Mus musculus: one gene and its partner. The protein of the gene in region 2 interacts with the protein of the main gene of each other region in a pairwise test. Links are inferred from orthologs where the notes say so. Each region holds a gene or a part of one and is shown on either strand. Other genes may lie near its edges.

The links.
Region 1: the proteins of Fxr2 (region 2) and Fbp1 interact in binary tests that used the Homo sapiens proteins (3 or more experiments, as listed by UniProt). The two-hybrid records come from large-scale screens. The link is inferred for Mus musculus from reciprocal best matches to the Homo sapiens genes FXR2 and FBP1.

What each region holds. Positions count from the first base shown.
Region 1 is NC_000079.6:62,874,647-62,878,017, reverse strand, and holds part of Fbp1 (fructose-1,6-bisphosphatase 1), read left to right. Parts: exon of another isoform or gene 1-954; intron 955-2,706; coding exon 2,707-2,869; intron 2,870-3,371. UniProt on the Homo sapiens protein: Catalyzes the hydrolysis of fructose 1,6-bisphosphate to fructose 6-phosphate in the presence of divalent cations, acting as a rate-limiting enzyme in gluconeogenesis. Plays a role in regulating glucose sensing and insulin secretion of pancreatic beta-cells.
Region 2 is NC_000077.6:69,632,059-69,635,791, reverse strand, and holds the start of Fxr2 (fragile X mental retardation syndrome-related protein 2), read right to left. Parts: upstream 2,822-3,733; 5' UTR 2,475-2,821; coding exon 2,394-2,474; intron 393-2,393; exon of another isoform or gene 273-392; intron 1-272. UniProt on the Homo sapiens protein: mRNA-binding protein that acts as a regulator of mRNAs translation and/or stability, and which is required for adult hippocampal neurogenesis. Specifically binds to AU-rich elements (AREs) in the 3'-UTR of target mRNAs.

The DNA.
Region 1 (3,371 bases), on a different chromosome or scaffold from region 2:
TCCTCTGAATTGCTTATGTGCCTTTGCTTTGTAGTCATTGTCGACTGGTTCAGGCTTCTTCGGGGATTTGGAGTATATTCTCTTTCAAAAACAAAAAATAAAACAACCAAAACAACCAACAAAAAAGTTCATGCAGTTGGAAGCCTAGCATCGAGCGAAGCCTAGCATCGAGCACCTTTCTGACCATCTAAATTAATCACCTAACCTGCTACCTGACATCCGTAGCCCCTCTCTTACCTATCACGCTCATTTGGAAACAGCTATTTTCTTGTTTGTCTTTTCTCACTGCAGTATTAAGCTCCCTAAGGCCAGGGATCTAGTCTGCCCTGTTCAGCAATGCTGCCCTAGCACAGTAGGTTCCCAGGAAGTTATTTGTAGATTTTAGGAAGGCTGGGGTTTTTAAGTAGAATTCACTGGGGGGACTGAGGCCCATGAGTAGGAGGTCTATTCTCCCCACAAACTCACCTTGCTGTGGTTTAAGTTTCAAGGGATCTTGTGCCAGGAGCCTAGTCCTCAGTATGCAGGTTGTGTTGAGAAACGCTGGTACCTTTAAGAGGTGGGGCCCAGTGGGAGGTGGCAAGTTGGCCCCTCCCCCTTACCCTGGCTTCGCGTCTCACCTGCAGTGTCTCCTTTTCCCAGGCACTCTATTGTCACTCACCAGCGAGGTGGTGTGGACAAAAAGGTTCTTGTCAAAGCTGGTACTGTGTTTGTGTCTTCCATATCTTACCTTGGAAGCTCAGTTCTGCTTCGGATTCTCCACATAGTTGTGATAAACTGTCTGCAGTGCCCAAATCCTAATTCTTGCCTTGGGCTTTCATCTACTCTGCCCCAAGTTTTTAGGCTCCCCAGAATTGTTCCCATCTGTACCCGCCCCGCCTCCCACTCCCCTGCCCAGGTGCCAAGGGTTGTGCTGAGTTCTCTCTCTCTCTCTCTTTCTCTCTCCCCCCTCCCTCCCCCCCCCTCTCTGTGTGTGTGTGTGTGTGTGTGTGTGTGTGTGTGTGTGTGTGTATTTTCTAATGGCAGCCTCACATGGGAGTTGCCATTCCCTCTGTGAACGCAGGAAAGAGAGGTAGACTCAGAGACCAGGGATTCACAGAGCTGAGGTTCGCACAAGGGGGCTGCTGTTGGCATCTTTATGCTAACAACTTCACCTGTCAGTACTGTTCCCCTTCTGATTTAGCAGTGGCCATGATGGTGGCAACTTCAAGCTAGAGGGAGAAAAGCTGTCAGTGCAGCAGAAGTGCTAGGGATAGTAATCCCCAGCAAGTGTCCAGACACCCTCTTCCACCAGGGTGGGCTTTGCAGCTGAGCTCAGAAAGAGGCCCAAAGCCAGAGACAGAATGCCAGGCTACAGGCTGCTTGGTGTTAGTGAAGCAGGAGAGACAAGGCAGAAGAGAGGAGGTGGAAGGGCTAGAGGGCAGGACTGTTTTACAGTCTAGAAGAGAGTGACAGCGATGGTGGTTGATGCTGACAAATGAGTCAACTGGGCCCCTTGTTTGGTCATTTCTAGATTGGGCTGTCCTTTTCCAAGTCATACAGATGCAATTTAGGTTTGGGGGCTGGTGGTATATTCTCAGCAGTTGAAGCAAGGGTTGTAGCTCACTTGGTTGAGTGCTTGAGTAACAAACACAAAACCTTGGATTCCATCCTCAGTTCCTGTATTTGGGTGTGGAGGCAGAAGCAGGAGGATCAGAAGTTCAAGGTCATACTCCTTTATATAGAGTTCAAGGCCAATAAGAGCTCTGAGAGGCCTTGTCTAAGAGAGAGAGAGAGTTGAAGGAATCAGTCACTGAAGTCATGACAACCAGATCCTAGATATCTCAGGGTGCCACCACGCTCCTAAACCATTTCCAGCTCTACAGCTGAACCCTCACATCCATTCTGTGTCCTGCACCTCCTTCCTGTGTCTTTCTTAAACCTGCATCCAAGCAGGCCAGGCTGCATTCTGGATGAATGTCTCCGGTTCTGGGAATTCTGCAATGACTGACTTGCAGGTAGCTCACACAGACAGTAAGAACCAAAATTCATTGGTCCTCCCACCCTGGAGGACTGACTCTACCAAGAGACCTAGAAGACCATTAGGAGCAGCCCCTGCTGGGAGTTAGAGCGGGCAGCTCACTGCCAGCAACCCTGCTTGCCTGTGTGAAGTCGATTGGGTGCTGGCATCCGATCTTTCCCCACGGTGTCTCTCAGGTTAGCTCAGACACCAGCTCCCTCCCTCCAACCCAGACTCTCTTCCTTGTTCTCAGCTGATGCATTGGACTTCCACCCGTGGGGCTAAACACTGGTTCTTGCACAAAATAAAAACATAGAAATCTCCCCTTGTTCTGTAAAAGGCACAGACACAGAAACAAACACACAGTCTGGAAACAGGGCAGTGTTTTGTCAGTATTCTAAAGTGTACGTTTCATGGGGGAGTGGGGAAGATTGCTTTAAAAGGCTTTGTAGTGGGCACTATAGCGGGGGAAAAAGATTAGGAAACATGGATCTGACCAGCGGCTTGTGTGACCTCAGCACTGGCACTGAGCTTTCCAAACAGTGTCTCTGCTCCCCTCTGCCAGCCTCGCCAGGCAAGTCCACCCTCCGTTGCCCTTCCTGAACCGGGCATGCCTGGCATGTCTGCCTTCCGTCCAGATCCATTCATGGTTGCTCTCATCGAGGCTCTGGTGCCCTTGGCTTATTTTCTGTGGTTTTCCTTCCCTCTAGCTATGGTATCGCTGGCTCAACCAATGTGACTGGGGATCAAGTAAAGAAGCTGGACATACTTTCCAATGACCTGGTGATCAATATGCTGAAGTCGTCCTACGCTACCTGTGTTCTTGTGTCTGAAGAAAACACAAATGCCATCATAATCGAACCTGAGAAGAGGGTGGGTCTGTGTTTACGCCTCTGAAGGCTTGCTTGCAGCCATTTTCCTTCTCAGCTTCATGGAAGATTTTATTCACTTCTCTAAGCTAGATTTCTACCGATTACCAAGCTCTCTTGCTCTTCTGTGTTCCCAAACCTCTCCTCTTACCTTAGTCCCAGAGGTTGCATTGATCCTGCTCTCCCCGTCTCTCCAGGGTACGTCTCTGTCACTGCTGTGTTTAAGGGATCATTACAGCCTGATTCTGGTAGTTGCCTGTTCATCATGACCAATCTCCAGCCTTCGTGTTAGACCCACAGCCAAGCTGAACTGCCTGGCTCAGGCACTGGGATTCTCTGGTGCTCAGAGTGCCTTGTGGGGGAAGAGGAAAAAGCAATCGTCTGTGTGCCCCACCATCTAGCTCCACACGAGCATGCTGTAGGACTCAGTGATAAACAGGCTGGGGAGGATGGAGCAACTGCTGGGGACATGCTCAACACTGCAGAGAGACCCAGGGACTTTTGAG
Region 2 (3,733 bases):
GGATAAAAGAGAGACTTTCTGTTGGATACCCATATGTGTAACAGAATTCATGTCCCAGCCCAACCATGTCATACAGTTAATTGGAACTGAGCACTCATCTGTCCCAGCTGTGCATGGCTCCTGAGCTTCCTTAAACCAAATGCAAATATCTTATCTTGATCTCATACTCAATTTAAGAACCACTTTTCAAACTAAGAGTAGTTGTGGATGCTTTTAATCCCAGCACTCAACAAAGGCAGACCTATCCCACAGAGTTTGAGTTCAGGGCAGCCACGGCTACATAGAGAAATCCTGTACCCAGAAATCGAACGGGGGTGGGTGTGTGTGTAGGTGTGTGTGTGTGTATGTATGTATATACACACACACACCTACACACAGCTTTTTTGGAATTTTTAACATTTTGATGTTAGAAGGATACAGATGAAGACTAACATATCGAGGAAAAGAGAGCATAATAAAGAGTACTTTTTGGGTTTGTTTGGGTTGTTTTAGACTGGATTCCATTCCCCATGCTGGTTTTGAACTTCAACAATCCTACTTTAGCCTTCTAAGTACTAGGGTTAGAGTATGTACCACCATACCCAGCCTGAGGAGACTGTTTTAACAAAGGTAATACAAATGTGGGTGAAATAGATATTAAAACATTAATGTGTCCTCTCAGAAGCCAAAAGAATTAAAGACTTTTGCTACAGAAAACAGAAATGTTAGAGACACTGTTCTGGTCTGAAGAAAAAGTACCAAGAGTTAGGAAAGTGACAGAATCAGCTAGGAGCCTTCTTCAGCTATACACAGACTAGACAGGTAGACATCATCAAGGATACACAGGAATACAGAAATACCAAGCTAAAAAGACCGAGACTTAGTTGAGAAGCTGCATTAAAGCTAATAGGTATGTGCACCCATAGGCACTGGGTAAAGAACTTGATCAGAAAAGGGAAAAAAATGGCCTGGCCTTTATAATGGATAACTAGCATATCAGTTGAAGTGAGGGTAGGAACCATCTACAGGGGTAGGGCAAACCTAAGTCTTTTTTCAGCTACAAAAAAGATACAATTTCATAGTAGAGTCAGAGAAAGTTATTTCCAAGGGCATAAGAAAGTAGAAGTTCTACTAGGGTAGGGGGACAGACAACCTGAGGAAACCTGAAGAAAAAGGGGCTCTTCTCACCCATCTCATGCTATGGAAATTCCTCTTTCTCTCCAGGATGAAGAGTAAGAGAGGGACCAAACGTGTCCGGGACAATTCCACTCATAAAAGTCAAAAGATGTTCAGAACCCCACTGATCAGAAGAAGAAAATATCTGGGGCGTGGGATCCAGAATAGACTCAGGACAGATACAGAAGATGGGGTGGGTGGTGGATAGAAAGAAGGAAAAAACAAAAGTCTGGTCTGGCATGGTGGCTCAACCAGTAACGCCAGAGCTGTAATCCTAGGCTGAGGAAGAGTTCAAGTGCAGCCAGGGAGGGGATCTTGTCCCAACCACACCCCTTAAAAAAGTTCACAGGAATCAAATCTTAGGCAAAGAAAAAGCTGATTAAAGAAGCAATTCTGAAAGATACTTTTTTTCTTTCCAGAAGGATTGTCAACAAGCAGAAATCTGTTAGAATAAGAACTTGTTGAGATGGCCTTTGAGAGACAGTGAAGCTTAAACTTACCAAGAAGATAGAGGAATGACCTAAATATATCTAGAGTCAAAGAGATAAGCGTGAATCCATCCCTCATAGGTGATTTTGGAATATAGGTGTGGTGGGTGACAAACTTGTCCAACAAATCCACTTTATGGCTGGCTGATAAAAACCTGAGGCCAAAGATGCTAATGCTAAATAACACAGATGGGTTTTGACCATTTCTTGTCAGCCTGGGAACAGGAATTTAAGACCAAAAGTTGAGCAAATGGTCTAGAGCCAGTAGGCAGAAGGCTCCCTGAAGACCTAATGTGGGACAGTGGACCTTCCCAAGGGGGTCATGTAGGAAAAGAATGCGAATCCTCCATGTGCTTGGGCTGCAGGGGTGATGTGATTAAAAGCTGAAGTATCGCCTACACTAAAAAAAAAAAAAAAAAAAAAAAAAAAAAAAAAAAAAAAAAACAAGAAAAGTCGATTAGAAGCTAGGAAAAGGGCTTTCTCCAAAGGGACCCGGGGCTCCCATCCCCGCACAGGAATGACCTGATGGCCATGTTTTCAGCTGATAAAAGCAGGTGTAACAGCGAGCTCAAAATAAAAGCACGAGGGTTAACTCCCACGATCGCCACGGGAGGGTTTCGAGTGGGAACGTGGGTCGAAGGTTCTAAGGGTCAAGACCAAGCTCCAGAAACTCGATCCCGCTCCACTCTTCCCTGCCTCGGCTGGGGGAGGGGGCTAAGGAGGGTGGCCCGGGTCGACGCGCCGTCTCACCTTGTAGAAGGCCCCGTTGGAGCCCCGCACCTCGACGGGCAGTCCCGGCTCCACATCCCCCCCAGAGGCCAGGCCGCCCATGGCGCCGCCACCACCTCCGACTGGCCCGGCAGCAGCTGAAACAGAGCCCTGAGTGCGGGCCGGGCCGGGTCCCCGGCGTCTCCCTGGAGGAGGAGCCGGAGGGGGAGCCGCGGGGGGCGGGAGCCGGGCCGGCCCCACGGCGGCCCTGCTACAGCCGACGAGCAGGGGGCCGGGGCCGGGCCGCTCCCCGTCCGCCGCCGCCGCCGCTGCCTTGGTCTCCGCCACCGTGAGGGAAACGGCCGCCGCCGCCGCCGCCGCCTTCGTCACCTCAGCTTCCGCCCGCCGGCGCCCCCGCTGCTGCCTCGGTCCCGGGACCCGCCGCTGCCGCTCCACGGCCTCCACCTCCCCCTGCTGCCGCCGCCTACTGCGCAGGCGCACAGGGCACCCGCCCGCCGCGCGCGGAGCCGGAGGGCCAAGGCGCAGGCGTCTAGGCTAGCGACCCAGCTCCCGCTCGCCAGCGCGTCAGGGCTTCCACATTCTCTTGCACTCTCTCACGCCCCCTCCTGGTCGCCTCTCTGCGCTTGCGCAGAACGAGGCGAACGCTCTCTGTACCACTCCAACCTTCCACTGTCCCTGTCCCTTCCTTTCCCCGCCCCACAACACTGGAAGCAAACCAATCAAAGGGAGAGGGGGGCCGCGCTCGCTGCATCGGATTGGACTTCCGCCTCCACAAAGTGAGCCCCATGGAGCCTGGGCAATTTAGGGATGGGCATGCGCCCGAATGACTGCTTGGTCACTTTCACCACCTTTGTCTTTCTTGGTGCGCACACTCCAAAAAGGGGGGGGGGGGGGGAACCAAAAGGCAAAAACTGCCCAGTGCGCAGGCGCTGGGCTTTGGTGTCCATGCGCATGTGTTGACTCTCTGCATCCATAGGAGAATCAAGAGTCACTGTTGTTGGCTTAAGTAGACTTTTTTTTTTTTTTTTTTTTTTTTTTTTTTTAAGTTTTGTGAGACAGGGTCTCTTGTGTCCTAGGCTGACCATGAACTAACTAGGTAGTGGGGGAATGACCTTGAATAGGTCCTCCAACCTCCACCTCCCAAGTGCAAAAATTACAGCCATGTCATTACCATGCTTGCCCTAAGTTGACTAGTATTCTAGTAAATTTAGTGCCGTATGAAAAACAAAATGCCACATAACTTGATGCATAAATTCTGAGGGGATTCAATACAGGAAAAACTGTCATGGAGTAACAAAAGAGAGAGAGAGAGATGGCTCGAATACGAAGCTTAACGGGAATTGTATTCCTAGACCACAAAA